Linked DNA regions of Caenorhabditis elegans. The protein of the gene in region 1 purifies or fractionates together with the protein of each later gene. This does not show direct contact. Each region holds a gene or a part of one and is shown in the gene's direction. Other genes may lie near its edges. The genes, in order: plc-3, AH9.6 and csn-3.

Region 1 (11,762 bases):
TTCTCTATATCTCCTTCTCTTTCTCTATATTTCTCAAATTCCGCAACATTTCTCCCTTCTTGATTTTGTTCATTTACAAATCGAGCTATAAAAATCAATAAAAACTTAATTTTTTTTCCAGAAATGGTCCTCATCAGTACCCCACCACCAGCTTACGCTCATAACAGAAAAACATCACAGGAGAAGAAACGACGAGATGAGATTAATGCAAAGATCAAGGAGCTTCAACTATTGATTCAAAATGAATCGGATAATGAGAAAATGACGTGAGTTTTCTATTCGTTTAGTGTTATCTTCATTCAAATCTTACTAATTTTCAGCCAAGGTGATGTCTTAAACCGTGCAGTCGAAGTGGTCAGTCGCATGGAAACCGAATCACCTGGACCATCATCAAATCCAAATCGCAAAGGATTCTTTGACGGATTCCGATCAATCGAGTCGCTCACTTATTCCTTCATCAAATCCCTGGGCGTCAATTCAGATGTCTGTCAGGATTTTGTGCAACGTGCCAAGCAGTTTTTCGATCGAGAACGTTCATCTTTGCTGAGCACTGTATCTGGAAAATCAAAGAGAAGATCTGAGTCGGAAATTCTCCACTCTTCAATGAGCTATAGATCCCAGTCAAGCTCTCCATCGACATCGGAATCTGGAATCACAATTGATAGAAAGGAAGTGAAAAAGAATAGAGAGCAAGATAGAAGAGATCGTCAGGGAGAAGCTTTTGATGCTTTGAAGAACTTTATCATTGAGAACAAGCTCATGACATCTCATCAAGTGTAAGCTTAAATTTTCCCAATACCATAAATTAAACTTTTCCTTTTTTCAGCGAAAAAATGCAACGCTTGAACACCCTGGATATCATAATTGCCTACATTCAAAACAAGAAGCACAATTTTGTTAGTCGAAGCGACCAGGAGCAGTCACTCTATGCACATGCAATTGCAGAGGGAAAGAAGACTGCAAAAAACATTGCCTTCCAATTTTTCAAGGTGAGTTGTCAGGAACTTCGAGAAGATTTTTTTAAATGTTATCAATATATTTTCAGAGCGACCGTCACCTCGTTGTCCGATGCGCAGACCTTGAAAAGTTCTTCGAATTCTCCTTATCACCAAAGCCACTCTTTGGATTCCCATCCATGCCCATCCCAATTCCACCACCATCATTCCCAATCTTCCCATTCCGGCCATTCCCATTCTTCCCAATGCCAATGGCACCAATGGCAACAAGTCCAAAATCTCAACAGTCTCCATCATATTCACTGGATTCTCCACCACCATCATCCGATACTTCTTCGTCATCAATCGAAACACCATCCACTCCAAATGAGAACTCGAATTCCAATCCTAAAGCTTCAAGAAAGAGTAAGCTGTTCAGACCATGGGAATAACTTTTCTAAAAAATATATCTCCTTTAATTGTAATTTAGTGTTAAAAGTATATATTCTTATTAATAATTTATCAACCTCAAAATGTTATCGACTTTTTCAACTTATCATATCATTATCATCTCACAACCAAAATCTAGTTTTATTGTCACGGGCTATTAAGCTTACCGGTAGGTTTTATAAATCCTTAATTGTTGTTTTCCCTCAGTATTCATAATATTTATATTGAATTTTCCGATTTTCAGTGATTTTGAAGATTAAATGACTGCAGAATAAAGTATTTATTATCTCTATTATAGTGTTGTATTCTGGTACCTTGTTTCCCATGGCAATTGGTTGCTCATTGCCACGTGTCTCGATAGAATGATGTGACAGTTTTTATTCTCCCACCACCTTGTTCCAGACAGACGACTAATTAGTGTTTTAGTGGGAAATGGTTAATACAATGATACTTCTAATTCAGAGGGTTTAAATCCACAAGGAAAGTATTTCCGCTCTAAATTGAACTTCCGAATGTAACCTAGCTATTTTTTTCTTTGTAAAGTTGATGCCTTTTGAAAAAAACATGTTGAACATTTTGCAGATTTTTTTCAACATATAACATTTTTCGAAATGGCTTCCGGATGATAATCTAACCCTAAACACCCTGAAGCATTAAAAATCTCCATTAAAGTGAATGCATTTTGAATTTAAAGCTGAGTTTGAAATGTAAACCTTTTTTGTGATAAACAAATATTTTCGAATTCCTCAAAAGTTCAAATAAGAATTGCCGATCTTTGAGGTTTCTCTGTTGTTTCCTGCGAATTGTCATCTCGCCGATTATTTGGCCGTTCAGTATTTAGAAACAGTACATTTTAGCCTGGTGTGCCCCCGATACAAACTTCCTTTGTCATCTTTTCTCATGCAATATTTTCCAGAAAAGTTTTGTATAAAAATGCACTGATGCTGGAAACTCAATTTTTGCCACAATTTTTTCCCGAAACTTTTCGCATCTTACTTATAAATATTTGTACTTTAGTTTAGTAAGTTGACATTTACAAATCAAAAGTGCGTAAAACTTTTTTAATGCGGAAACCCAGAGAAAAAGTGTGTTCGGACTGTTGAGGCGATTGTCTCGAAGTTGTTGGCGAACCCGAACCGGTCCGCTTTGTTTGTCTCTCAAAACCTCTTCATTTTCTTTTATCTATCATATTTCACCTATGTTCTATACACCCATTCACCCCCATTTTATGTATGTGAAAAAATGAAAATTTGCATCTGAATTCAGAATATTTTTGTCGTTTTTTATAAGCATTCCTTTTAGGTGTCAATTTTAACATCTCCAAGGAAAATGGTTTCGAGTTTTTTAAAAATTTATATTTAGAAAGTCTGATAACAATACTTTATTTTAGGATTAATGTTAAGATCCGAAATTTTTTCATAAATGTATGGCTTCTTCCGCAAATGCAAAACAATTGACACGACTCTAAAAGTTTTCTTTTTTTTCTGTGATTTATATGTGATGTAATTTTTCTGTGACTTTGTTGCATATACATATGTAGAGTTTAAAATAATTTTCTAAAAAATCAATCTTGACAATTTTTCACTTATATGTCTAAAATTTTTTTGTAAATTTAATTGGGTAAGTTTATCTATGATACTATAATTTTTAAAAAATCGGGTTACAATAAAATGTATCACAGCTTTCGTTTTTCATTAGCAAATACTTTGGAATAGTTATAGAAAACTTTTAAATGATCATAAATGTCTTCAAAGTAAATAAATACAAATATTGAAGCGTCTTCATTCCAATGGAATGAACAAATTGAAAATCCGATAAAGATTTAATTGAAAAATATTGGAAATGCTCCTCTTCTTCTTTTTCACATTCACATCGTCCATTTCTCTTCAATCAACCAAAGCGATTCGAATTTTGTTGAAACAATATTCTTTTGCTCTTTCTCTTTCTCTTCCAGTTTCCAGCCCTTTTCATTCAATTCTCTTTTCTATGTGTGAAGCACCAAAAGCACAAAACTCGAGGAGCATTTTTCTTTATCAAAAAGGAATTGTGAAAATTTCCCAATTTAGTCTGAATTATTTTTCCACACACCGTTATCGAATTGTGCTCCTCGCCGTGGCTAGTATGACGTTATCATACTGTCATTAGGTCATATGTATTATATTTCACACTTTTACTTTATTGTGCTCCTTTTTTCTTGAAATGTCATTCTTTTTTCTTGCAGTTGTAGAATTTCCGGAAACTTTTTTTTCTGAAAATATAGGAATAGGGAGTTGATTGGGTTATTGGAGCTCGAATTAAACTGAGGGTAAATAAGTTTTTAGGAAATAATTTTGAAGGGCTGTGGTGCTTTTGTCAAAATATACGCGATTTTTTAAAAACCAAATATGAAAAAAAAAATTTCAGTCACGGTTTTGGCAAATTTTCAAAATTTTGAAAAGTGTGATTAGTTGAGATATTTCAACTATCCTTGCACATTTGAGCCAATCTTTAGCACAAAGAATTAAAGCATAAAACACATTTTTGCCGGCTTTCAAAATTTTGATAGATAAATAGTAATTGTTATAGAAACTTCTTTTGCCAATTTTGCAGAAAACTTTCATAATCTCCAATCGCAATTTTCTTGTTGAAAACCTATTCATTCCTCTAATAGAAACTACATTTTTAAAACTTATTTATAAATTAATTGGAAAAATTCACAAATATCCAGGCAAATAAGACATCTTGTTTAAAAAAATGTAATATCTTTCAATATTACTTGAAGCCTTCCCAGCCGCTTCTTGTGAATTTTCTAAAAATTTCTAAGCGAACTATTTTAAAAAATTAGATTTTTGATCAAGTTCTTGTTTTATATTCTTTGATTTTTTTTTCAAACGGGAAAGTATGATTGATAGTTTTTTTACCGGAAAAATACAACAATTTTTGATAAGAGATTATTCATTTTAACAACTGAATTGCATTTCACTAGTTGAATAAAATAACTTTTGTTATGAGAAATTGAAGAAACACCACATTTTCGTAATTGCTTATAAGTTTTAAATTAATTTCTAAATCAGAAATTCTTTCAATCGTTCTTTTGCAAGGAAGACCGTTAAAATTTTCTTTTTTATGTGCATCCAATTTCATAAATCCTTCAATTTCTCAGCATGCAACACGGCTCACTTGGCCCATCATCGTCGTCTCGAAAGACTACAGTAACCAGCACAGCGGGCTCCGTTCACCTTCATCACCGCTCTTCAAATGGTTTCTCGACAGCATCACGAGCTCAATTGAACCGTCACAATGAAATGGATTTTGGGAAAATGTTTGCGGCAATGGAGAAAGGTCACAAAGTGTGCAAAATTGCGGTGTTGAAGAAATGGGATCCAGCCTATAAACAATTAACGTTGGATCGGTACTCGAGGCAGATTTTTCTGACAAAATTGGAACTGTCAGCTGTTAGGTAAGAGGATAAGTAACATCGCATGAAATTCATTTACATTTTTTTCAGAAATAAACCGACAATTCTAGATATTCGACAAATCCGTGAAGTACAGACATTGAATTACAAATTGAACACAATTAAAGTAGATGATAAATGGAAAAAGGATCGAGAAATCGTAAATTTTGATTCAAAAGCCATTCTAATCATCTCATATGGAATGGGATTTGCTCTTTCCTATTGGATTCTTTTGTGTGAGTTTTTGTTAAAATAATTATTCAATAGTTTGAAAGAAAAATGTTATAGTTGAAAGTGAGGATGCGTGCAAATTATGGTCACAAGGACTTCATAATTTGATGATGGACACAAGAGATCGAGACTCATCCCCTCATCCATTGAGAATTGAACGATTTCTGCATAAACACTTTTTGAGTTTAATGTCACCGGCTAATGATGCGTAAGTTCAAAAATTGCAGAATTTTTTAATAATAACAATTTTCCAGCGTTGCTCGAAAGCATATGAAACCATTTGTTCAAACCTCCCTCCAATTCAAAGTTCAATCTGATCAGCTCCAACAAGTGACAGAAGATCAAATGAATTCTGATCAATTCAGTTTTGCCAGTCGTCAACTTATCCATGTACCTGAACTCTTCTCTTCAAGATTCGCTGATCTTGCTGAAAAACATGAACGAAAAGGTCTTGTGGTGACGTTTCAAAATTTTTTGCGATTTCTTGATGGCAAACAATTCGATGAACTTGCCTCGAATCGAACGAGAGCTTTGGAGTTTTTGAATCGATATTTTCAAGAAGATCAAGCATATTTTGGAGATAGAAATGAGCCTTCAATGACTGTTTTCGAGTTTTGTGATTTTTTATTTTCAAGGGAGAATTCGCTGTGGGACCCAACAAATGAGAAAGTTACTCATGATATGAGCAGACCATTGTCTCATTATTGGATTGCCAGCTCGCATAATACGTTTGTTTTTTTTTTGGTCTATATAAGTGCTAAACCAGTAATTTAATTCCAGATACTTGACGGGTGACCAACTTCGATCTGAATCTTCTTTGGATTGTTATGCTCAAGCTCTTTTGATGGGTTGTAGATGCATTGAGTGTAAGTTTTAGAGACAATTTTCACTGTTTTATAAATAATTTTATTTTTCAGTAGATTGCTGGGATGGACAGAAGAAGCCCGGGTCAGCCGAGTTCATTGATATTGTCATCTATCACGGGTATACGATGACCTCAAAAATTTTGCTCCGCGACGTGCTTCACGTCATCCGTCACTATGCATTTGTTACGAGTGAATATCCAGTAATTCTATCAATTGAGGACAACTGCTCGGTGCCAGCTCAACGGCTTCTAGCTCAAGAACTGAAAGATATTCTTGGTGATTATTTATTGACACAACCAGCAAATCGTGAAGAAAAACAATTGCCCTCCCCGGCCGCGTTGAAGAAGAAAATTATCGTGAAGCATAAGAAGTTGCCGATAGAAAGCGAGGATTTGGCAGCTGTGGTGAAAACTGATGAGTGTAAGTTTTATGAAATTACTCTAGTTTCCTAGTAGTAAAGGTATAAATCATTTTGCTAAATGATTTTTGTTTCAGTCCAAGACACGGAAATCATATCTCGCGAATGTGTAAAGAAGGGGATCCTGATGGTAAAAAACAACAACAGTCACGAATGGACATCTCATGTTTTCATATTATTCCCTGATCGTCTTTGCTACCTGATTCAAACCGCTGATCCTGAAAATCCAAATGACGATACAGTGAGTGTAAGTGGAGATGAAGAACGGGAAGAAGAGACGCCTTCTGGATTTGGAGTGAAACCTGAAGAAATGCATGTGACTGAAGAATGGTTCCATGGAAGATGTGAACGGGATGAAGCGAAAAAACGGATTCTAGAGCATAAGGAGAAGGGAAATGGATTGTTTATGATTCGAGATTCGAATCTGTTCATTGGAGATTTCTCACTTTCGATTCTACATGACGGGAAAGTTCATCATGTTCGGATAAGATCCAAGATTATTGATAGTGAGTTTTTCTATGTTTTGCATGTAACATGTATTCGAGAATTACAGTAAATAGAAGAGAAACTTTTAATAAAATTTTCAACTTTTCAATTTTTCAGAAGAGAAAAAATATTACTTCATGGATAACAAAGTCTGCGACACTCTTTACGAGTTGGTCTCTTACTACACCCGTCACTACCTCACAACTGCTCATTTCAAAATGGTGCTCACGATTCCATGTCCTCAACCACAACCGCATCTTAATCAGCCATGGTTCTCTGCTACTGCTGACAAGGAAAAAGCCGAAGAACTTTTGAGCTTGGTGCCAGAAGATGGTGCTTTCCTAATTCGGACGTCATCGACTGACTCTTCAGTTTACGTTCTTTCGCTAAAAGTCGACGGCGAATTCTGGCATTATCGATTGAAAAGAGATGGAAGAATTTTCGTGGTGAATCAAAAAGTATTCGAGAATTTGAATCAAATTGTTGAATTCTATGCGAATCGAGAATTTGTTAGAGGAATTAGTCTTCGATTCCCTGTCAATGAGAAGGATATATCACACCTGACAGCTGAACTTGCAGAAGCTCGTACTCCAGGTTGCTATATGGATCTGAAGGATTTGGATAAAGAAGTTCAAGCTCGAGCACTTCGACCGTATCGAGGAACAGCTGATGATGAACTTTCGTTCCCAGCGAATGTTATTATCACAGTACTCCGGAAGGAAGAAGGTCTTTGGAGAGGAAGATATGGATCGTTGACTGGATGGTTCCCTTCGGCCCATGTACAAGAGATTCTACCAGAGAAAGTTTCAACTTCAGGTTAGTTTGAAAAAATTAATGTAAACAGTTTATCTCATAAAATAGCAAGTTTAAATTAAGTAGTCACTATCAAAAAGGGAACTGAATTTCGTGTGGGCTCACTATTATTATTTGTATTCTTTTGAAATAGTTTAGAAGCTGCCAATATATTTAGTGTAGCATCACGATATGGTTTATGCACAATGAGCATCACAATAGTTGAAATCAAACCATGAAGAGATAGCAAGCATAAAGAAATATTAGTTTGAGCTGTAATGAATATAGTAACTAGATTATAGTTTTAAAAGTGTTACCTTGATTATGATACTCCAGAGAAACTTGAATAATTACAAATAGAAATGGAATAAACATTAGTAAAACAGGAATAGTAACTTGAATACAAATTGCTCGAAATAGTCTCTTTTGTAAATTTCTAGTCCTTTCTGATTTTCTATCATCTTTTCCACTTAAATTCATCAAAAGTCGAATGACAAAATAAATAATCTGCCCTTCAATCAATGAACTAGTGATAATAACTGAATAGTGAGTTACACGGACATCCAGAGCTAACACAAAAAATCGATTTTCATCGACTTCACATGGAAATTGTTCCTTAACTATTTTGATAGCTTCCGACTGATTTGGAATACGTAAAATAGTTGGAATGACAAAAGTGAACGCCAGTAAATAGTTGAAAATAAAGAACAGAGCTCGTCTGACTTTTCGACTAGAAAACTCGAAAATAATGGTGTTATAGCGGTTCTCGAAAATGTGAAGAATTGCTACACCGGTTACTGAAATGATAAAATATAAAGTTCCAAATTTCCTGCAAAACTTACAAACAATTACAGTCAACATAACATAAATTTGAAATGGAATATTCACATCCAAATAACCCAGCAATCCCATGGGAAACCCTGACATTGACGGTAAAAGTATAAATGGAGCAACAAATAATCCCATAAATAAATCCATTAAAGTACTCCAAAAATGCAAATTAAATATGACCAATTTGACAAGATTCATTTGATTCGGGGTTTTGCACAAAATACAGTACCCTCCGAATATGTAAATTGGAATTCCAACAGCCGATATTATGTGTAGACTTATTTGTAAAAACTTGGGAGAATGAAAGAATGATAGAGTGGGACAAGAAGCTTGCATTCGATAGAAATTTGAGTTTTAGTCAGATCTGAAAAGAAGAAAAATAAAGTATCATCCCTTCTATGCTTCAATGATTTTTTAAAAATTTGATTATTCTATCAGAGTAAAGTGAAATCAAACATCAAAGTTTTCAGAAACTAGCAACTACAACACAATCGAGCTAGCTGGAACACTAATTGAACGGATTCATGATGCTGATCGTCCGAATGTTATCAGAATATCACAATCAAATCAACATTGGATGAACAAGCAATATTATTTGTTGGCTGCTTCTTGTAAGTTGTTCTTCGAACTGAAATTCTGGGGTTTACAATTTCGACAGGCTACAAATTGTGTTGATATGGCCCGAAAGAAAATAGAAACTCTTTAAAAAAATTTCAAACATTATTTAAATTAAATTTGGAAATTTTGTGACAATTGAAAGCGTACCTGAATCTACAAACTACTACAAAAATTTATTTAAAAAAAATTCAAAACGGAGAAGAAAAAAAAAACAAATTAGATTCACTTTACGCAAATATTTTTCAACCTGGATCCCAACTTAACTTAAACTATAATTTTCCAGCCTCCGAGGAAGCAGATGGTTGGCAAAACAATCTCTTCGAGCTGACTCGTTCAGTTAACACAAAAATGAGCATACTCCGAACCAAAGAAAAAGAAAAACGAATTGCCGCTGAGCTCTCAAATCTAGTCGTCTACTGTCAAGCTGTTCCATTCGACCCAGCCCATATCTACAATGACGCTTTCTATGAAATGTGCTCATTTGTCGAGGGAAAACTTGACAAACTGGTTGAAAAGGGGCTTCTTCCGTTTAATTCCCGAAAACTCTCGAGGGTCTATCCGAACGGAAGTCGAATCACATCGAATAATTATAGTCCGGTTCCAATGTGGAATGCAGGATGTCATATGGTTGCACTAAACTATCAAACCGGTGATAAACCCATGCAGTTGAATCAAGGAAAGTTTTTGGCAAATGGAAGATGCGGGTACCTACTGAAACCAGATTATATGTTAACTGATGACTTCGATCCTACGAACACGGAAAAGTTTGCAACAGCTTATCCCATTCGACTGAATGTTCAAGTGATTGGAGGACGTCATTTGTCAAGAAAAGATAAGAATAAAGGAATATGCTCCCCATTTGTGGAAATTGAAATTATTGGAATGCCATGTGACACAAAAGTTTTTCAAACTAAAACTATAGGTAATTTTTAATATTTTTTTTCCTTTTTAAAAATAAGTTTCTAAATTTCAATTAAAATTTCAGCATCAAACGGTCTTAATCCGATCTGGAATCAAACTTTCACATTTGAGATCCAGTGTCCCGAAGTAGCACTGATCAGATTCCACGTGGAAGACGGTGACTTTGTGGGACCAAAAACAGATCCGTTCATTGGTCAAGCAGTATTCCCTGTTGATTCAATTAGATGTGGATTCCGATCAGTTCCACTCAAAAATCAGTACAGTGAGGAGCTTGAGCTCTCTTCACTGTTAGTTGATGTACAAATGTGCTCCAGAGAAGGAACTCAATTGATCAGGTCGTCGTCGCATTTCTTGCAGGTTAGTGCCCAGTTGAAAAAATTTTATTAAAGGTTTCTTCAGGCGAGTCGTCTGGCTCCTGTCTTCGCTCACCGTAAGATCACAAATGGCGATAGTATCCCTCGTGAGATGGCACCTCGGTTACGAACATCAGCCACCGATCGTTCACTAGACTCTCCAACAAATTCCGAGTCAAGAGCCACTCTTCTGAGCGGCCAACGAGGTAGCCAAGACTCTATGGACAGCGCTGCCGAGTAAGAATTGAAATTTAAACTTTTGTGTGAAAATCTACTTTCAGAACATCGTCCATTGCATCTGGAACAATAAGCTCTCGGGATGGAAAGAAGAAACAAAACTGGCTCAAGAAGTTCTCATTTGGAAAAAGTAGTAAATCATAGATATAAACTCAGCACTTTCCGTTCTGTTTTTTGCCACAAAATTTTGGAGCATTTTTTATAGTTTAAGTTTAAATATACCCGGTTAGTTTCAATCAATACAAGTTACTAGTTACAACTCAAAATTCGATATTTCTCAATTATTTCCGCATTCCTCCAAATCCAAAATGTGTTCATTCCTCATCATTCCTTCCTCTTCTTGTTTAATTTTTTTGTTTTTTGACACTTTTTTTCATTTCAAGTTCAAACCTCATCGGATTCTGCTTTAACTTATGACAATTCTCCCAAACACTTCCAAGTCAATTTAATTAGTTTTGCTGAGATTTTTCTTGTACCTTTTATTATTAATTGTTAATAAAATTATGCATTTTTTGGTAATTGGTAATTTGGTAATGTTATTTTTTAAATTAATTCAAAATTTCTTTGGGATTTATTTGAGACCTAATGCATCGTTTTGATAATGCTGCAAGATTTCAGGCCGATATGGGCCGCCTATTTATTGTCAGCCTAATGGTTAGCTTCTTTTTTTGAGCTACTCAACATTTTCAAATGCAACACAATTTTTATTAGAGGACTCTGTCTTTCTCCGTTGCATATTCGTTTGCCTTCTCCTCTTCTCTATACAATTCAAAAAGTACGATGAATCACTCCAAAAACAACAACATTATATGAAAACGAAATGAAGACAAAAATATAAATAATATAAACAAAATAGTTTGTTTCTTGTTTTCCGGAAATAACGAAAACTCGCCCAAAAATATCAAAGTACACGAAACATTGTAGATACGAAATTGAAATTGAAATCGTAATCGAAATTGAAAACAAGAATTCTGGAAATCGTAAATCTCAAAAATTTAATGGACCGAGTGGGCTGAAATTGGATTTTTAGGGGAAGCAACTTTGATTGGAATTTTGGTTTTTGATACAATTCCTAGAAAATGTTTTTTTTTTGGTAATAAAAATCAGTAACTCGATTTTTGAGTTATTGAAATATGAATCTGAAAACATTGGTAGTTTCAATACAATTAGTGGAAAGTAGTTGTAAGG
Region 2 (11,210 bases), on another chromosome or scaffold:
TTCATCTTCTCAAAACTCAATTTTCCAAAATTTTCCCTCCATCTGTCCAGGAACTCATTTCTCCCTTAATCTCTTTTTTTTCGGCGTTTCTTTTTCTGGAGGTCGGGTTAAATCATGGGATCAGTACTCGTAAGAACGGAGCAGTGTAGACGTTATTAAAAATAAGCCCTGTCATAACAGAGTGATTTTCAAAATTTTTTCAGCAATCGCACAAATGATGTACTTCTCGCAGTTCGCGTGTAATGCTTTCTACTTGGCAACATCAATTTATGAAACCAACGGATCTCCAAGGAATACTGTAATTTCAAGCAGCAATCGTCATGTTTCGAGATGTATTTCAGATGACGAAGCTTAATTTTACATCTCATAAAATTTAGCACTAGGTACGGATACTTGCTTCTCTTCAAACCTGTTTGTCAAACTATTACATGTTCTCTCAGCATTTCTCATTGTTTTTGTTGTATTTTTGATCTCAATTGATCTACTGAACTCCTTTCTCAAATCACTCAAATTCCGCATTTTCAACGTGTAAGCCAAACAAAAATTGTGCAAAAAAAATAATTGAAAACAAATTAATAATGTGTTATAAAAATAAATTATTTGCTGGTTTCTGATAGCTTCCGTCAACATGCAAGGTGTACATGACTATAAAGAGTTTTCAATTCATACTCATCCATCTTCAAATCGTGCAGTTGGAATATTTTTAGATGAGTAATTAATTGAGATCAATTCAGAAATAAAATAGAGTCGCCTAGCTTGATAAATTGCTTACTAATAGTAAGCACGGCAAACTTTTTATGCCAAAAACAGAATTCTAGGAAATTGTTCGAAAGTTTGCTGATGTAAATTGAAACTTTTGTAATACACTGGTACTGATTATTTTCGAGAACTAAAATTCAAAAAAAAAAGTTTATTGAGAACATAATCTGAAAGAAAAAATACATTGCAAACTATGACGGCTTTTAGGTTCCTTTTTGTGAAACAACGCTATGATCTACAGCATTCTTCGAATATTGCTTATTTGATAAAGAAACTGAAATTTTTGAAATTTTACAAACAAAGATTCACAGAAAAAATACATGGTTTGCAATGAAACATGAAACATTTTTTACATTTTTTCACAAATATAGTGTGATACCAAAGCAACGACAAGTTTTAGTTATAGGTGAAGTACGTCCAGTGGAAAAATATTTTAAAAAACCATTCCTATGGTATTCAAATAGCCAAACATGCATAATAAAACTTTTCCAAATTTTTGGCAACATTTTTTATTTCAAGTTAGATAGCGGTGAAATGTTTATATATCTGTGGAAATCGCTAATAAAAAAAACGTATTTTTCTTCCAGTTTGAATTATGTTCCAAACTCTTATATTTTAGCAATGTTGGGGTTCAAACATGCGCCAGTGCTTTAGATATTTCGAGAAGTGGCGCAAACTCCGTTTTCGCCATTTTTTGACTTAAAATAAAAATTCTCCAATTTTTGTTCTGAAAAGTTGTACCATGATACTTCCGCACTCCGCCTTTAATTAAACGGAAAAATTCAATGTTTTATAACTTTACAAAATTTATCCTCAAAATCACAATGAATGAAACATTTTCCGAGTTTCATTTTGAATTATTTATTTTATTGTAACAAAACGTGCATTTTAATAACCCTCTTTGCTCCGAAGATGATGGAAAATGTGTTCCCGTCGTTTGAAATAATAAAGTCATTGAACGAAAAACGTTTACCTCTGCTTATTCCCTTCAAAAAATTTTCTTCGGAAATTTCCTCCAAATTTCCTGTTTTCCACTACTGCTGTGTTATCGTAAAGTTAATATCGAGTTAACATTAGTTGGTACTTACAAAAGCAATAAATGGTTCGGTTCATTGTGAATGTGGCTTCTTTGTCGTTTTCTTGTGGAAAATTGCTTTCCTTCTTTTAGGAGTCTCCGACTGCACAATGACTTTACAGGAAATTATTTTTCGGCCCGGTTTTTTTTGTCTTGCAAAGCTTCTAAAAACCTGGAGCTAAAAGTGTTTCGTTGGATTTAGTTAGAACGAGTCAAAATGAGTATGTGTAAAAGAGATGAACAGACTACGTTGCGGAATTTTTTTTTTGAAGACGCGTACGAGCCTGACTTCCGTCCCCTCTTGAATTTCGTTGGTGCTTTGTGGTTTGTAGTAAGTGCATCAGAGACACGCCAATAAAAGCGAAGAGTGCTCTAAAATGACATGGAGTACCTTTACCTCCGTGCTGGATTGAATTACACTTGAGAATTGGAAGAGAGCACAACTACATCTGGTTCCTAATCACAAGCGTGCTTTTTCAAATGCACTTTATTTGCAGGTGCCCTCCCCGTGAGTTATGAAATTCAACAGCAGCGCGAGTTGCAATCTTTCAGAGAGCACATTTTCTTGAGATCTCCCTCGGGAAGACTAGGCAACGCCCGTCTCAAATGAAGCTTTAGATGAGATGACGTATAGTGTGTTGCCAAGTGAGTTTTCACTTTTTAAAATAAAATTGAAGCATGGAAAAAAATAAATGGACCAGATAAAATTTGATTCGGTTTTGTCCAAAAAACTGCAGAAACATTTCTGAAATTCTAGGCGTGAGAGAGAGAGAGTACACAGTAATGAATAATTCAACATTCTCAGTATATGGGGTGAAATTTGAGTAAATATTTGAAACACTACTTTGGGATCTTGACTTCTACAAATTTTGAATGGAATACCTCGAGAATTTATTTGTGATACTGAATGAATGTAGGTACTTTCAAGGTAAACCTGCACCAAATATGTTTATCATTTTTAAAATTCAACGTAATTTTTTAGTTTTAGTATTAGTGTTTTCTTAACCTGAGAATGCAAATCAATTTCCCATTTTGATTAAATTATCAGGTGAGTGGAAATTGAAAAAAATTTCTGAGACAGGTACCAAAAAAACTGAATCCCTGTATTTGGAAGATAGATCACTCCTTTTCTGAAAGATCTTGTGTTTTCGCGTCAGAAATATTTACAATCATTAACTCGTCTTTCCATTAATATTCATGAGTACTCAACTTTATTACTACCCAATACATCACTTCCAAAAACTTGGTCTCTAGCTATAAAAAGTGCGAAGTATGAAGAAAATGAAAAAAGGAAAGGAAAGACGCACTTCTCTAAGAAAAAAACTCAATTAAGCAACCTGGACTTGTCACTGAGAACAAGGACAAGAGCAAGAACAAGTATCGAAATAGAATGTTTGTACGTACGTTAATCGTGAATTCTCTTAGTGTGTGGCGTACCCCTTGGGAGAAATGTTTTCAAGTCCAGTGTTCACTACTATAAGCTTCCCCCCGTTTTCCTATTGCCCAATGTCTCCTAGCCTCCTCAGTCGGCGCCAAAGTGGGCGGAGCGCATTGGCGGCGCTGCCTGCGCGCGCTTCGGACACGACCGTCGTCGGGCGAAGCACACAGAGAGCAACTCCTCGGGTTTTGGTGAATCAGTCGGTCGCCGCCGCCGTCGTCGTTTTTGGCAGAGCATATTATTGGTGTGGAGCACACAATGTCCTAACTCTCATGGCAATATGATGCGCAAGCTACTCGTCATCTGCCTTCTGACGGTCTATGCCCAAGGGGGTCAGATTCCTGTGCCTCCCATATTTTCACCATGCAACTTCCCATCTCCGATCACCGAACCTAGTTTTGTGAGTTCAACTTTTTCATGTTTTATTTTTTTATTTGCTGAACTTTAAAATCTCCCCTCAACTTTTAAGAACCAAAAAAGCTTTAGCTTCAAATTTCCAATTTCTTTTCTAGAAAAACTGAGGTAGGAAGAATGAGAAAAAAGGAAAAATAATTAGCATTGTTCGTTCTGAAAATGCAAAAATAAGATAAATTATACATTCCCTCTGTTTTGCCCTAGGAGGGGTAGCCTTCGTTCCATGTGCCCCACAAATCACTCAAGCGTTCGTAAACCTTGCAATTAGAAACCCAATTATTTTTTGCTGCTCAGTATTGCTTTATTGTTTATATATATATATATATATTTTTTCTGCGCCGTATCCTACTTTTTTCCACTATACTTCTCCTCCTTTCTCCTTTTTCTATATACTTTGCGAAAAGTTGAACGGCCCTCCAAAACTCGTCGAGGAAGAAGGATGAGAAAGGAAAGCCGCGTGGAAAAGACGAAGACGTCGTGCTTTTTTTTTCTATTTGCATATTGAGCATTTGCTCATCCTTATGAAACCAATCAAGTGAAAGACAATCGTTGTTTTTTTTGTGTCCGTAGTCTTAGATTTACTCTGGCGATATCCGGAAGAATGACGAATTTCGAGTTTTTTTTTCAGAGATTTAATTGTGCACTAGAGGGAGGAAACCCCATAGTTTCGAACTTTTGACTTGTGATTCAAAATTTGACACTCAAATTTTAAAGTCAAGACCTACCCGGTGAACTGCGTGAACGACATTAGTCATTCTTGTGGTCTCCTTTGGAAACCACAAGGTGAACAACATCGTCTCGCCGCCCCGTAAACGCAATTTGTGAAAGCCGAAAAACTCAAACTCCTTTTCTCTTTTGTATTGAAAACCACAAATAGAAGAAAAGGAAATTCCTCGGCGACAACAAAAAAGAAATTGTGTCCCCCCTCCCTGCCTTTCTTCTGCTTATGCTTCCTTCCAGGTTGCTCAAGGACCCTCGTTTATTGTGTCGCAAAAAGTTCACAATTTTTTTTTGAAGGACTGAGGAGCCGAAAAACTTTGTGAAAAGAAGAGTTTGATCTGAAATCAACAATTGTCAAAATTGTCAAAAACATTTTGCAAACTCCCTAAACTTCTTGAGATTTATAGAAAAAACCTGAAATGTATTTTTAGCATAGGAGTAATTTTGATTCTCCTCCAAATTGTCAGCTCATCTCTGTAGACCAAAAAAAAAAGTTATGCAGACAAAAAGGCACGCGACTCAAAAAAAATGATATATACATACACATGTATTTATTTGACGTCTTCCATCATATTTTATTGTGAAAAGGAAAGAAACGACCACCACATCCATTTTAGTTGATGCGAGCCATGTGAAACACTTGTCAAGCATATATTCATGAAAAAAGTCACTACGTACTCAAAACCCGACAGAATATGTTATGCATATGTGAGGAAGGTCACGGGGGTGAAATTGTAAATTTCTACTACATATTAAGAACGTTACAAAGCAAATAAATTTGCAGTAGTAAGTTACAACAGTGACCTTTGGAAAAATTATTCAATTTTCCGTATTTTCCCTATTAAAATCGCAACGGGGCTCTTTTTTATCGGCCTATGCCGCGGTTAATTTTCACGGTATTAAAATGAGTACCGTCACTAATTTTAAGGTCCTTTTTGAATGCAGCACTATTAGAGACTGCAGTACTGATTTTCAAAAACCTCTTTTCAGTTGTAGATCACTAGCTCTCAGTCACAAAAACTCATATTTTAGGCCTGAATTTAATATTTAATTTTTTAAATTCATTTTGTGAATTAACAAAGAATCATTAAAACATGTTCAGAAAAAGTTTCCAAAATGTCGAAACTAATGAGGTTTCACAAAAAAAAATTGCAATAAAAAAAGGGTTGCCGCATGAATTGAAAATATACGGTATCTACAAGACTATAGGAAAATAAATTGGAATTTATTTTCTCAGATGACAAAGGACAAATCTATATTTGATTCAACAGTTCGCGAATTTTTAATTTTGATTTCAAAAATTAAATATATATTCTGTTTCTGCAACTCATTCAAATCTACCTAATTTCAGCACCGATCGGTTTGCTACACAATTCCTCGACTTCCGTTTGTGTGCGATCTTCATCACCAACTGGCTTACACAAATGTTTATGGAATTGAAAAAGCTTATAATAAGTATAAACAATTCTTTTTTTTCAATCTTAACACCCAATTTTCAGGTATCGATCACTCTTCACAAACGGCAATACTTCAACACTTGCCGTCATAATCAGTTGAGAAATACACCTGCCTCTCTCTTGTCCAACGAAATTATATTTTTTCCAGCAAAACAACTGGAGCAGCCTGCTTCTGCAAATGATGTCATGAAAAAAACCGAGTACGCTTGTCTCTTTGATAACGAATGCGACCAGATTGACGGGGACATGGTGACTGGAATTGTCGGAAATGTGCGGAAGTTCCTACGGGTAGGTCGGTGTGGTCGGAGGTTTCAAAAAGTATACGTTTTTAGCGGGAGGGGGGAGGGGGTTAGTCCAAAGTTGAGCTTGCAAAGTGGGGACAGGAAGGGGAACTGAATCATTATGAGCCAATTTTCTATCACGTTTTCCACATTGCACGCAAGTATCGCTCTTTTTTTGGGTGAAGTGGTTGCAGTGCGCAAAGTGGGCACATCTTCAACACGTGCTAGAAATGATGAATCTTGAGTTGAGGGACTCTCAGAATGTAGCAAAACGTTTTCTGAGAAAAATACTTCCTGCGTGAGATACAAAAACGAAATTGAATGCAGTGCTAAACGGTTTCCAATAAAATCTATTTTTGAAGAATGGAGTTCACAAAATAAAAATATTCAGATATCTCAGTAAATCCCCATGTATAGACTTAATGTATAGATTCAAAATGTGCTCAAATGAACTAACTTCGTTATAAAACTTTTTTTTTTAATTTATAATTTTTTCTGACGGTTAAAGATTTAAAAAAAAAATCAGCTAATTTTAGATGCAATCTTAAATTTTGCAAACTTTTTTGTGGCACCTAGATGTGATAAAGATTGCACATTGAATTTCATAAGATTTTATTTTTATTAACTGTATAATTCGGTCTTTATATATTAATTTAGGTAAATTTTAAGGATTATAATAAAATAAACATTAATTTCCGACAGCTGTGACATGGGAAATTTTGCAAAATTTAGGGTTTCAGCTAGCATTAGCACAATTGTTTGAAAACATTTTTAACCGTTTTGAAAAGTTTTTGGGAAGCTTTTGATAAGTCTCATATTGATATTTGATTTGTTTAGAAAAACTTGTTATTTAAAATATAGCAACACTTTTAAAATATAGCAACACTTTTAAAATATAGCAACAATTTAGTTCTCCTTCAACGGCAAATTTACAGATCAATTTTATGAGGAAAAATATTTTGGTGAAATAGCATTGCAGTTATTCTAATCGAAAAAATACGGTATGGCAAATTATTGCGGACTGGTTTTAAAAAAAGCTTCAATGATAATAAGATGCAGAAGCTGTGATATTCGTGTGTACTTGGCTGAAATCAAAAATTGTATATTTCAGGTTTATTCGTGGAAAGTATATGAGCGATGGTTTGGTGTCGGAGAATCTTGCACCAAGACAAATTTGCTAGCGGTAAGTGATGCCATTCTATCCATTCACTCCTTCCAAATATGTTTTCCAGCTTGTTGTAATCGATGGAGTTGTGAATGACGCCAGAAAAATTCCATACGTGAGATTGCACACAGGTACATTTCAAACTCGAGCAAAACTCAAAACTTATGACTTCGATCAACTCAATTATTCCAGGCTCACATCGTCTTCGAATGTTACTTCCAAACATACAAAGTGAAGTCAACAATGCGTTGGTGCAAGGTACGCGCATAACTGAATGCTAACCAGAAACGGTGTATTGTTTAAGGCTGGCCACTAGCAAAGGTTATCGAGGATCTGGTGGATGATGTGGGATATGCACTGAAAGATTATTACGAGCTGAACGGTGAACAGAGAGATCATTCCGTTCCAATGTAAGTTATTGGAGCTGATTCTTGGTTGTGAAGGGGATATGGTTTGGGAAAACAGCCTTGGAATAGTGTAGGTATGGTATCGGTGTGGTATCGGTGTGGTATCGGTGTGGTATAGGTATGGCAAAGGTATGTTATAGGTATGGCAAAGGTATGTTATAGGTATGGCAAAGGTATGTTATAGGTATGGTATAGGTATGGTATAGGTATGGTATAGGTATGGTATAGGTATGGTATAGGTATGGTATAGGTATGGTATAGGTATGGTATAGGTATGGTATAGGTATGGTATAGGTATGGTATAGGTATGGTATAGGTATGGTATAGGTATGGAAAATATATTTTCAATCATTTCAGGTGGGCACGAAACCTATTTCTGGTCTGCTTGGCACTTGTCATCACTGCTCTTCTTGTCGAGTGGTACGTGGTGAGAAGGAAAATCGGAGTGCAAAAAAGTGGATCCATTAAGATTGCGTCAGGAAAGAGCAAAACACATCTCATGTTCTAATGTTCGTAGTGTCATATCTGAAACTTTTGTACATTTATTTTTATGTAATTGTTTTCAATCTCTCTCATTCGGGTTTACGGTGATTTTTTTTTTCAAATTTTCACTGCTAGAGTCAACGATCAATAATAGTTGACTGTTTAACTTGTATTTCTTATTTTTTTAAGGTTTATTTTTTCAACAAAATAAAGTGAAGAATATTTTCCAAATTTGAAAAGTTTGAATAATAAAAATAAAATCGTCTTTGTTTATATAAACAAAACTTAATATATTCGGTGCCTATTTTGAGCTGACTAATCTTCTATATAAAGGGGCCTAGCTCCATTGGGGAATTTTTCTGGGGATTTTCTCAAAATTCACTTATATGATTCCAAAGCGGCCGAATATCATAATAAACCACTCACATTTTTAGTCAACGTTTTGGCAAGTTACCATCATTTTTGAATGTCGTATGGAATGTTTTAACAGAAAAAAAACCAAATTAAAATTAAAATATGAAAATCGTAGAAAGTTTTTTTTGTTGATTTCCAAAATCATAAGGGACAAAAACTGGGTAATTGCTACACTTCGTTAATAAATAAAACATTTCTAATTTTTTTGAAAAGTTGTTCTATGATATGATATTTGGTTATTTTAGCACCATAGGAGTAGTATTAAACCTTTAAACATTTATTCACCACTTATCAAAAACAAACAATGTTGTTTTTATTTTTCACCTAGTCTCTATAATTCCTACTTTTACGCAAAGAATCAAAACATCTCTAGACTCTTATCTTTCCCACTTTTCCTCTTCATGCTCGAAGAAAAGACACTACATAAAATTGATAATGATAAAATATTGAATCAATGTTTATTGTTCATCAATTCCACTGTTTTTTCTCATTTATTAGCATAAAATGTTACTACTTTCCCGGCTGCAACTACGGTAAGCGGTATCCAGCCGATGTTTTCAATACTGCATTTGAATACACGTGCACGGATAACGCTCATTGTTTTTCGCATGCCAATTTCACAAATGGAAAGTGAGTTTTCGAAATGCAATAATATTTTAAATATTTCGTTTGAAAAGATTTTTATGTTAAGATAGCATGCAAAAGCTTATGGTAAAACCACACATATCTAGTGGATTTCTTTAACATTGAGAGATGTATTGAGGATATTTTCTCTCACGTGAATATTTTATATTCCCTCATAATTCTGAACAAAAGCCACGAACTCAACGTCTACTGCCGCTATATATTTGAAAAACGTGCTTTTCAGTTTAGTTTTCAAGTTTTTCATAGTTTTTTAAAGATAAAGTACGGTCAGTGGGGAAATAATCGATGTTAAAATAATTATGTATCATAACAAAACACTTCAAAAAAGTTTTTCAATTTGTTTCAAAAAGTGTTAACTACTGCTTGTCATTGTTTTGGAAGTCATCTCTCAAAATTTTTTTTTTGATTTTTATGGTCTATTTATGTTTCTAAAAATAAATATTCAGAACAGGGTAAGCGGCAAACTGGGCAAATGGGCAAATTGCCGGTTTGCCGATTTGCCGGAAGATGTTTGCTTACTTCTCAAAATAGATGAAGGAACATTCACAGGATGCGTACAATTTTGCCGCTTAAAATTGAAATTCCGAAATTTCTAAAAAAAAATGTGCGAGACCACAACTTTCCGAAAGTATTCGGCAATTCCGGCAATTTTCCGACTTGTCGGAAATTTCAATTCCGGCAATTTGCCAATTAGCTAGAAAAATCGTTTGCCACCCACCCCTGATTCTAACACTGTGTGAATTCGAACATTCGATATTGCTAAATTTTTGTAAAAAACTGCCAAAAACTGAAGATTTGCCAATTTCTTACTCTCAACGAAAACGATACGAAAATTTTTTGAAAATTTTTACTATGATTTATTTTTGCTCCTTTTGGCACTACTACTCCGTTTCAAATTTTCTGTAAAGTGGTTTTTTTTTAACTTTTCTAACTTGAAAACAAGAAAATTATAAGAAACTAAAGTGATCTTGATTTTCTGTTTAGTAAATGAATTCTATGAGTTTCTAAATTTTTTTTTGATGAATTTGAATTTTTATTTTATTTATGAAATCCTCTATTTTCCCGAGTCTCCTCCATCTGCCACACAAAAAAACAGTAATGAACATCTGCTCTATACCCAAGGCGGGAGAAACACATGTATGAGACCAAACCATCGATTTTTGGTGGGGAGCACACGCATACGGCAACCGTGTTACCCTGCGTCTCACGTTGTTACATTTTCCATTGTGCGTTCCGTTTTGAGTACAGCTTTTTTTCTTGCATTTCGCTAAATGGTTTTGAAACTGTAACATGTTTTTTGTGAAGTGAATTATAACAAAAAAAAATTGAATGTGATATCAGATAATTTTCCAGGAATTTTTTTTGTTGCTATTTTTAAAGGAGGACCGACAATTGAATTTTGACTACTTTCTTTCCTGTTTATTTACTGTTTGTTTGCTGGTTTTTGAGAAAAATACACAATTATTTTTTAACCAGAATTTTTCTGAAACGTGTGAGTTTGTTTTTTACTGGGTGTGTATCAAAATTTAGCATAAATTCTGAAATTTTTTTGGTAATTTTAATTTCTCTGTTATTGTAAACTAGCTCAAACATATTGATTCTTATTTAATTGGTTCTGAAAATTTAGAAAAATGTGGATTTAATTTTAAGAACTAACTAGACTAAATGAAGATTCATTATTTTTTTTATGTAGATCTAAATTTGTTTGTTTCATTTTTCGAATGTTAGTTCTAATTGGTATATGCATACTTTTTTTTTCTTTTTTTTTACATTCCAGAAATTCAAATCCCTGCTTAATTGTATTTTTTTGTAGGTAATATGTCGTCACCAACTCCAAAACATGAACCACAAGAGAATGACAGTTCTCTTCCGGATGAATCGATGGAAGTAGATGGACCGGAAGACTTATCCGTGAAGAAAGAAGTCCAGGAAGCAGTAAAAACGGAAGAAGC
Region 3 (8,846 bases), on another chromosome or scaffold:
ATCTGGATTCCTACAGCGCTTTCAACGATAATAACGGGCGGTCCAAGACAGAGCTTGAAGATTTGCTGCGTCGCGAGAATATTGACGCAGTTGTGATCGCCGGACTCGCCTACGATATTTGCGTTCGGTTTACTTGCCTGGTAAGGGTTTTTTAAAGCTTTTCTAACTGAAAACCGTTTAAAGGTGGTGTATTCGAATTTTTTTTATTACCTTATTAGACTCAAAATTGTCTGAAAACAACGAATTTCATAATGAAACTTTTCAGAAAAAAGTTATGACGGCTCAAAAAATGGCCTAAAATTAGTTAAAATCGGAAATTAGACCAACTTATCAATGTCGCAGCGACTGGAAACTATTTTTTTTTGAAATCACCGTCAAATTTTGAGTGTACAAGTTGATCATCTTGCGTTTTAAACTTCATTTAGGTATTTAAAAGTCGATGGACGGCGAGTTTTGGCTCAAAAAAATTAAAAATCTCGCCGTCCATCGATTTTTAAATACCTTAATCAAGTTTAAAACGCAGGAAATCAACTTGTATACTCAAAATTTGACGGTGATTTCAAAAAAAAATTGTGTCCAGCCGCTGCGACATTGATAAGTTGGTCAAATTTCCGATTTTAACTAATTTTAAGCCATTTTTTGAGCCGTCATAACTTTTTTCTAAAAAGTTTCATTATGAAATTCGGTGTTTTCAGACAATTTTGAGTCTAATAAGGTAATAAAAAAATTCGACTACACCACCTTTAAAAACACCTCAAAACTTTAAATTTTCAGGACGCTGTGAAGCAGAACTTCCTTGCCGCCGTGATCCCGGAATGCAGCGCTGGACTAACGAAGAAGGGAATCGAGGAGTCTGAGATGGCTTTCAAAAAGCAAGGCGTTGCGATGATCTCAAAAGACGAGGCACGTGGAATCACGGAAGGCGGTTTTCTGCCGAGAGAATGGGTTCAAAGGATCGTGAAGAAGTAGAAGTAATAATAAAATATTGTGCATAATTTTGTAATTCTTTTAAAAATATTTAAATAAACGTTTTTTTTTCTTAATTGTCGAAATTTTCGTTGAAAAGTTCAGAAAAAAGTAATTTCGCATCAAACGACGCTCCGAAATAACGCGGCCGCCAGCACGATTTCTCGGCCACGCGCCGTGTACTCCTCTCGAAGGAACCAATTTTGTAAACAAAATTTCAGCGCATTTCTTATTCCTGAAATTTCCTGTTTTTTCCCCGATAATTTAACGATTTTTCCATTTAATACTTGTTAGAAATCACATTTTACTCATATTTCCTAATATTTACCACTGAAAACCAGTATAAAACTCGAAATTGCTAATTTTTAATCTATTTCGTAAAAAAATTAGTTTTCCCCCGAAAACATGTCTAGAGACGTGAGTTTATCACCGAAATCTGGTGATATTCGGTTTAACGGCACGGAGCCGCCCGTCAAAGTGGAAGTTGTGGATGAAGAGCAGGTGGGCAGAAAAATCGATTAATTAAAAAAAAATTTTGAATTGTTTTCAGAGTTCTCTCAACAATCAATTGGGATTTTCGACGACACTATCGACGTCTTTTGTGCTTTCCGAAGATCTCTCGGAGTCCATCGATGATCTGACAGTTACTAGCAAGGCAAAAACGTTTTTATAAAATTAATTTTCAATAAATAAATTTCAGGACAAAAAGAAATTGCGGCCTAGTAAAGTGGCAGAGGACATTGGTCGCAAACGAAAGGATACTACAAACTCCATAACTAATTTCTTCCATCGATTCACGCGCGGAGACCGTGAGGAGAAGAAAATAGTTGAAGAGGAGGAAGAAGAGCACGTGGAGCGTCCCGAGAAGCTTATAAGCCCGGAATCCGAGGAAAAATGGTTTGAATCGAGAACTCTGGACGAGAAAGTGCTCGGACACGAAGGAGACGCAGATATGTACGAATGGGATCCAAATACAATGACAGAGACTCTTGTTCGGGAGCCTCCATCGCCTCTGGAGCCCAGTAGTATGATATTCGAGGAGAAAGGAATGCTGAAACTACTGGAAGATTTTCGAAATGGTGAGCTCCGATGGCTAGATGCTCCACAGATTTCTGCGTTGGGAAAAGTGAAAGAAGCGCATGAAGATGTGTCGAATATTCATTTACAAGTTTATGAAATTGAGTCGGCTAGGAGGAAAAAGAGAAAACAAGCGAGGAGTGTCAAGGAGAATTTTGAATTTGTAAGGAAAAATTCGGATTTCCATAAAAAAGGGATTAATTTGTGCAATTTTACGAAGAAATCGGGATTTTTGGAATGTAAAAAGCTCAATGTGATCTAGAAAATGTGTTTTTGGCAGGATTTTCCTTTTTTTTTAAATCCGATTTTCAGTCTATTTTCTAGCTAAACGACTCCGAAGATCTCTCAAAAAACTAACAAAAAATGCGACAGACGCCAGTTTTTTAATCTGAAAAAAAGCAGAAAGTCCCAAAAAACGGTCCCAGGAATCACAAAATATCTGTTTTGTGATATTTAGCGCTGCAAAAAATAAAAAAAACTCGCTGAATGCAATATTCCAATAGCTTTTTACCTTTAAAAAACTCAAATTTTCATTAAAATCATCAAAATTCTGAGAGCCTCACCCATAAATCCTTAGCCTCACCCAAAAATCATGAGAGCCTCAACCAAAAATCCTGGGCCTCAATCAAAATTCCGGAGAGCCTCACCCAAAAATCCAGAAAGCCTCAACCAAAAATCCAGAGAGCCTCAACTAAAAATCCAAAAATACTAGAATATACTAAAATTCCCCATATTTTCAGTCGGATTCGGATGATTCAGAAGAAGAACGAGAAATCGAACGATTATTCGAATCGATGAATACTCATATGATTGACATGCATTCTGCACTCGATACCGTACCATTTTACGACGCTTCTCAAAATCAACGCACTGAAAAAATCGATAACGACGAGGAGTATTTTTCGTCTTGAATCGATCATGTTTCCTGAATTTTTCACGCATTTTCTAATTTGAAAATTCTATAATTTTGACCCAAATTTCTTCGTTTCCAGCTAATATTTGCATTTTTTTAGGGCATTTCTCACAGTTTTTCTCGAAAAATCCCCGTATTGTCGATTTTTTTTTCGAAATTTTTCCGAGCAGGAAAATATTGTGAATTTCACCTGTTTTGAGGCACCACGGATTCAAGATCAGCTGGGATTTTGGATCTAAAATTTCCGAAATTGGCACCGTGCCAACGAATAAAACGCTATTTTTCTCGAAGAAAAGCGTGACAACGATGCTCCGATGTTACGCGTCGCGTGTTGTTTAGCGTATTTTCTATAAGTAATTTTCAAAAAAACAGCGTTTTATGCCTGACACGGTGCTTTTTCGGTGATATTTGAACTGAAATACCCTAAAATTTTCGTGATTCCCTCTATTTTCTAGCAAAGTTTTCTCTTTTCCCCAAATTTTACCCATTTTTCACTAATTTCTCGGTATTTTCCTGTACAAGCTCGATTTTTACTCAATTTCTATATTTTTCTCGGTTTCTTCTCTAAATTTTCTCACCAATCGCCATTCCCTGTGCAATTTTCTCTTATTTTTTCGTATATCTTCTCTTACTCGTTTCTTGTCACACATTTTCACGATAAAATGTAAATATTTTCAGATATCACAGGAAAATCCCATTCACAAAAGGATCATGACAAGTAAGTTTATTATTTAACCTGTAAATTTTCTAAAAAAATCGGAAAAGCTTTTTCAGCTTTTTTCAATAAGCTCTTCACGGGAGCCTCATCATCATCGTCTGCAGCAGCTTCTTCTGGAATGGATCTTGGTAGTATGGAGTCATTGTGTGCTGCGATCAATGAGCTTTGCAGTGAAAAACATGGTAATTTGGAGGGTTTTGTTGGAAAAAGAAGAAAATTAGTGATTTTCTCAATTTTTCAACTTGAAAATGTATTTATTCGCTGAAATTTTCGGGAAATTTGAATGATTTCATTCAAAAACCCATCGAAATTCTCGTAGAAGTTCGTGAAAAATTGATGAATATCATCTGAAAAGGGATCGAATTCCGAAAAAAAAGAGCCAAATTTTGCTGACATCTGAAATTTTTTCTTTGTCCCCAGTTTTCTTTGTCGCAGCCACTGGAATTTTACTTTTCTGAAATTATCACTCTTTAATCTAAGTTTTATTAGTTTATCTTGTGTAAATTCATTGATTGAGACAATTTTAAACCGTGAGGCATCCAATTTTTATCATTTTTGGATGTCTCTTCGCTTAAAAATTGTCTCAATCAATGAATTTACACAAGATAAATTACCAAAATGTGAATTAAAAGTGATAATTTCAGAAAAGTTGAATTACAGTCTCTGCGACAAAGAAAACTGGGCAAAATTTCTGATTTTTGCACTAATATGCCTTTTTTAATTTTGACCTCAACCAAAAAATCATGGTAGCCTCAACCAAAAATCATGGTAGCCTCAACCAAAATTCCGGAGAGCCTCACCCAAAAATCCAGAAAGCCTCAACCAAAAATCCTTAGCCTCAACCAAAAATCCTGAGCCTCAACCAAAAAATCATGGTAGCCTCAACCAAAAATCCTGAACCTCAACCAAAAATCCTGAACCTCAATCAAAAATCCTGAGCCTCAACCAAAAATCATGGTAGCCTCAACCAAAAATCCTGAGCCTCAATCAAAAATCCTTAGCCTCAACCAAAAATCCTTAGCCTCAACCAAAAATCATGGTAGCCTCAACGAAATATCCTGAGCCTCAACCAAAAATCCTGAGCCTCAACCAAAAATTCTTAGCCTCAACCAAAAATCATGGTAGCCTCAACCAAAAATCCTGAGCCTCAATCAAAAATCCTGAGCCTCAATCAAAAATCATGGTAGCCTCAACCAAAAATCCTGAGCCTCAATCAAAAATCCTTAGCCTCAACCAAAAATCATGGTAGCCTCAACGAAATATCCTGAGCCTCAACCAAAAATCCTGAGAGCCTCAACCAAAAATCCTGGTAGCCTCAACCAAAAATCCTGAGCCTCAACCAAAAATTCTTAGCCTCAACCAAAAATCATGGTAGCCTCAACCAAAAATCCTGAGTCTCAACCAAAAATCCTGAGAGTCTCAACCAAAAATCATGGTAGCCTCAACGAAATATCCTGAGCCTCAACCAAAAATCCTGAGAGCCTCAACCAAAAATCCTGAGCCTCAATCAAAAATCCTGAGCCTCAACCAAAAATCATGGTAGCCTCAACCAAAAATCCTGAGCCTCAATCAAAAATCCTTAGCCTCAACCAAAAATCCTGGTAGCCTCAACCAAAAATCCTGAGCCTCAATCAAAAATCCTGAGCCTCAATCAAAAATCATGGTAGCCTCAACCAAAAATCCTGAGCCTCAATCAAAAATCCTTAGCCTCAACCAAAAATCCTGGTAGCCTCAACCAAAAATCCTGAGCCTCAATCAAAAATCCTTAGCCTCAACCAAAAATCATGGTAGCCTCAACGAAATATCCTGATCCTCACCCAAAAATCCTAAGCCTCAACCAAAAATCCATACAAAATTGTTGAAAATTTTTTGTTTCATTATTAAATTCGGTGGTTTTGGACCAGTTGTAGTCTATTTAAGCAGAATACCCACAAACTGTAATCCCGCTTTAAAATAAATTTATTAAAAAATTTGTTTTATTTAAAAAAAAATTCAATTTAAGGATACCGTCAAGCCTATTTTTTCCAGAATTCCGCATTAATTTCCCGTATTTAGTTTCAGAGAATGTTGGTGAACTGGCCGCTGGAATTGTTCGTAAGAATAAAGAGCTTTTCGAAAAGAAATCGAACGATGTTGAAGCATTTTTGCTTCATTGTAGTCCAAATGTTGGTTCAGCTGCAATGGTTGCTGCAATTAAAGGAATGTTTGATACGTCGGCTGCAAAAAATAATGAAACTGGAACAGATCGAGCTGTTGAGCTTCTCAATCATTATGTTGATGAGAATAATTTTGTTGGAGGACATTTGAAGCTTGTACCTGAAATTAGTGAGTTTCTAGATAAAATTGAGAAGAAAAACTGGAAAATATGGATGATTTACATGGAATTTATGCGAAAAATCTAGATTTAAAGAGAAAAATGCAGCTTCACTTCGCCGAATTTTCCGTTTTTTTTTAAAGCAGAAAGTCAAAGACGTCGGATTTCAAAGGAAAATAAAAATAAAAACTTGAATTTAGAGAAAAGCTAGGCAAAAATAGAAAACTTAACTGAAAATTTCTCCTTCTTCCTATAATTCTTCCTAAATTTTATTTTTTTTTTCTCAATTTCCCTCAAAAATCTATAAATTTCAGACTGAAAATTAAAAAACTAAGAACTTCCTAATTTTTCGTCCTCAAAAAAATTCGAAAATCCGAATTTTTCCACAGAAAAAAGTTGTCTGAAAATGCATTCTTTAGTGAAAAAATGACAAATTTTAACGATTTTCTTGTAAAAAGTCACTTTTCCATAGATTTTTTTTTCACTTTTTGAATGGAGCAATTGAAAAATCTTTCAAGAAAAATTGAAAAATATTGGCAAATAAGCTCGAATTTAAAGAAAAACTAGGCAAAAATTGAAAATTTAACTGAAAATTTGATTTTTTTTTAACTTTTAAAATGTAATTTTTTCCAATTTCCCTCTAAAAAAAATTTTTTTTTCAGTTTTCCCACTGCTCCGCGACGTCGGCTTATATTGTTTGGAAAAGAAGAATAAACCAGAAATAGGACAAAGAATTATCATGAAAGCACTCGGATCAATGTTCCCAAGAAATGGCTCAAATGCTCCAAATGTGCTCACTTCTGCACACGGTGTGCTCTTTGCGTGTGCTCTTGAAACAAAGGATTATGCATCTGTTGAACCATTTATTGATCTACATGTTGATGAGATTGCAAATGAGAATTGTATTCAAGATCAGGAAAAGAGTGATAATAGAGAACGAGATTTTGGAGATGTTTTTCTTGGAAGAATGAAGGTGCATTATGGAAGAAAAAAGAAATATCTGGAAATTTGGATATTTTCAAATTTTCGTGTGAAAAAACCTTTAAAAATGGGTATTTTTTGTAGGAAAAAAAGTTAGAAACGTTATATGAAAATACATCATTTTTTGAGGTTTTTTACACGCAAATTTGGAAAAAAAATGTCTAGAAACTGATAATTGCCCCCAAAAACAATATTTTTCAATTCTTTTTGGATTAAAAACATTTTTTTAAAAACTGAAAAGTTAACGAAAATTATACATGTATAATTATATTTAAACGATTGTTTTGAATATTTACACTGGATTCTCAGTGAAAGCTTACGAAAACCAATTTTTTCCGAAAAATTCGGAAAAAAAGTGCGAAAAAACGCAAAAATAGGATATTTTCAATTTTTTTCTGTTCCAAAAAACTTTTTTCAAAAAAGCTTCCAAAACACTAAATTTTTTTAAAATTGCTTGGTTTTAAAAACATTTAAAAAGCTGAAAAGTTAACGAAAATTACAAAAATATTTTTATAAGTTAAAAAAACGCGATTTTCTGAACATTTGCATTGGGTTTTCAGTAAAATCTGAAGAAAACTATATTTTGAATATTTTTTTCCGAAAAATTCGGAAATAAGTGACAAAAAAACGCAAAAATGGGACATTTTCAATGTTTTCTGTTGCAAAAAACTTTTTTTTAAAATAAAATCTGAAATTACTAAATTTTCGAGCTCTTTGAGTTTTGAAATATTGCAAAAAAAACCTGAAAAATATGAAATGAAAATTTAAAAAATATATAAAAATTTGTTTAAAAAAAAATTTATATTAAATTTTAGTCTGGTTTGTAAATCCACATCAAAATGTTTTCTTGAATTTTTAAAAATAAAATTTGAAATTACTAAAAGTTTTCTGAAGTTTATAAATAAAAAAAACCGAAAAATATGAATAAAAAATGAACATCAAAAAACTAAATTCGTTTAAAGAACAAATTTTATATGGAATTTTTTGGGTTTTTCAGTTCAAATTGTTTTTCTGGATCTTTTAAAATTATTTCAGAAAGGCGCCGCATTCGGTTCACAGCCAGTGGCACATAATCCTCATCTTCATCCAAAATATGTACTTGATTATCTCTACAATGGAGCATGTATTCTCATTGAGCTTAAACGTTTCGAAGATGCTCTTTTCCTGCTCGAAATTTGTGTCGGAATGCCAGCGTTCTCGGTTCAGGATCAACATTTGGATTCGTTCAAAAAGTACTTTTTATGCAAGAATTTTTGCGAGAAAAAGAGGAAATATCTCAGGATTTTTCTTTTTACAAGCCAGAAAAACTAAGAAAAACTTCAAAAATTCCCAGTTTCTAAAACCAAAATTTTCATGCAAGTTTGTAGTGAATTTTGAAAACTCTTAACCATGAAATTTCACGACAAAACTGAATTTTTGGCTAAAAATCCGGGATTTTGAGTGAAAATTGGCTGAAAAACGGTCATTTTCAGAGGAAAAAATGCTCAGAAAATAGCATTTTTAATCTAAAACTCGTTTTTTTTTCAAATTTATTTTTTTTTTCTATTGAAAAAAAAACACGAAAAACTGAATTTTTGGCTAAAAATCCAGAATTTTGAGTGAAAATTGGCTGAAAAACGGCAATTTTCAGAGGAAAAATGCTCAGAAAATGTGATTTTTGGTCTAAAACTCGTTTTTTTTTTTTCAAATTTCAAGTTTTTTTCCGTGAAAATCGTTTTCGGAGCGTTTTTTTTTTCGTTTAAAACTGAAGAAATCATGAAAATATTTGGTTTTGTGCGGAAAAATCTCGAAAAACTATGGATTTTCGATCAATTTTCAGAAAAAGTGAACAATTTTTCATCCCAAAATTTTTAAAAATTAAAGATTTGTTGAAAAAA

Evidence for each region.
Region 2: the proteins of plc-3 (region 1) and AH9.6 fractionate together in Caenorhabditis elegans (co-fractionation; one large-scale study listed by BioGRID). This does not show direct contact.
Region 3: the proteins of plc-3 (region 1) and csn-3 fractionate together in Caenorhabditis elegans (co-fractionation; one large-scale study listed by BioGRID). This does not show direct contact.

Annotation. Positions count from the first base shown.
Region 1 is NC_003280.10:10,218,350-10,230,111, forward strand, and holds plc-3 (1-phosphatidylinositol 4,5-bisphosphate phosphodiesterase gamma plc-3), read left to right. Parts: upstream 1-4,527; 5' UTR 4,528-4,528; coding exon 4,529-4,824; intron 4,825-4,872; coding exon 4,873-5,057; intron 5,058-5,109; coding exon 5,110-5,260; intron 5,261-5,306; coding exon 5,307-5,780; intron 5,781-5,832; coding exon 5,833-5,918; intron 5,919-5,969; coding exon 5,970-6,338; intron 6,339-6,413; coding exon 6,414-6,842; intron 6,843-6,939; coding exon 6,940-7,638; intron 7,639-7,668; exon of another isoform or gene 7,669-7,693; coding exon of another isoform or gene 7,694-7,887; intron 7,888-7,931; coding exon of another isoform or gene 7,932-8,411; intron 8,412-8,456; coding exon of another isoform or gene 8,457-8,781; intron 8,782-8,915; coding exon 8,916-9,056; intron 9,057-9,346; coding exon 9,347-9,985; intron 9,986-10,048; coding exon 10,049-10,341; intron 10,342-10,383; coding exon 10,384-10,574; intron 10,575-10,618; coding exon 10,619-10,718; 3' UTR 10,719-11,091; downstream 11,092-11,762. Other genes in the region: Regulator of fusion ref-1, read left to right, coding at 124-266, 321-776, 827-989, 1,046-1,387; srh-135 (Serpentine Receptor, class H), read right to left, coding at 7,694-7,887, 7,932-8,411, 8,457-8,781. UniProt on the Caenorhabditis elegans protein: Mediates the production of the second messenger molecules diacylglycerol (DAG) and inositol 1,4,5-trisphosphate (IP3) which plays an important role in the regulation of intracellular signaling cascades.
Region 2 is NC_003284.9:2,260,388-2,271,597, reverse strand, and holds AH9.6 (uncharacterized protein), read left to right. Parts: upstream 1-3,459; 5' UTR 3,460-3,552; coding exon 3,553-3,672; intron 3,673-5,757; coding exon 5,758-5,861; intron 5,862-5,905; coding exon 5,906-5,958; intron 5,959-6,011; coding exon 6,012-6,151; intron 6,152-7,255; coding exon 7,256-7,327; intron 7,328-7,376; coding exon 7,377-7,440; intron 7,441-7,501; coding exon 7,502-7,567; intron 7,568-7,613; coding exon 7,614-7,719; intron 7,720-8,073; coding exon 8,074-8,224; 3' UTR 8,225-8,432; downstream 8,433-11,210. Other genes in the region: putative G-protein coupled receptor AH9.4, read left to right, coding at 204-355; AH9.3 (uncharacterized protein), read left to right, coding at 11,077-11,210.
Region 3 is NC_003282.8:191,111-199,956, forward strand, and holds the start of csn-3 (COP9 signalosome complex subunit 3), read left to right. Parts: upstream 1-3,631; 5' UTR 3,632-3,667; coding exon 3,668-3,674; intron 3,675-3,730; coding exon 3,731-3,856; intron 3,857-5,729; coding exon 5,730-5,999; intron 6,000-6,650; coding exon 6,651-6,961; intron 6,962-8,004; coding exon 8,005-8,201; intron 8,202-8,846. Other genes in the region: pnc-1 (nicotinamidase), read left to right, coding at 1-140, 775-969; intk-1 (INTaKe), read left to right, coding at 1,372-1,467, 1,517-1,621, 1,667-2,206, 2,784-2,954. UniProt on the Caenorhabditis elegans protein: Component of the COP9 signalosome complex (CSN), a complex involved in various cellular and developmental processes.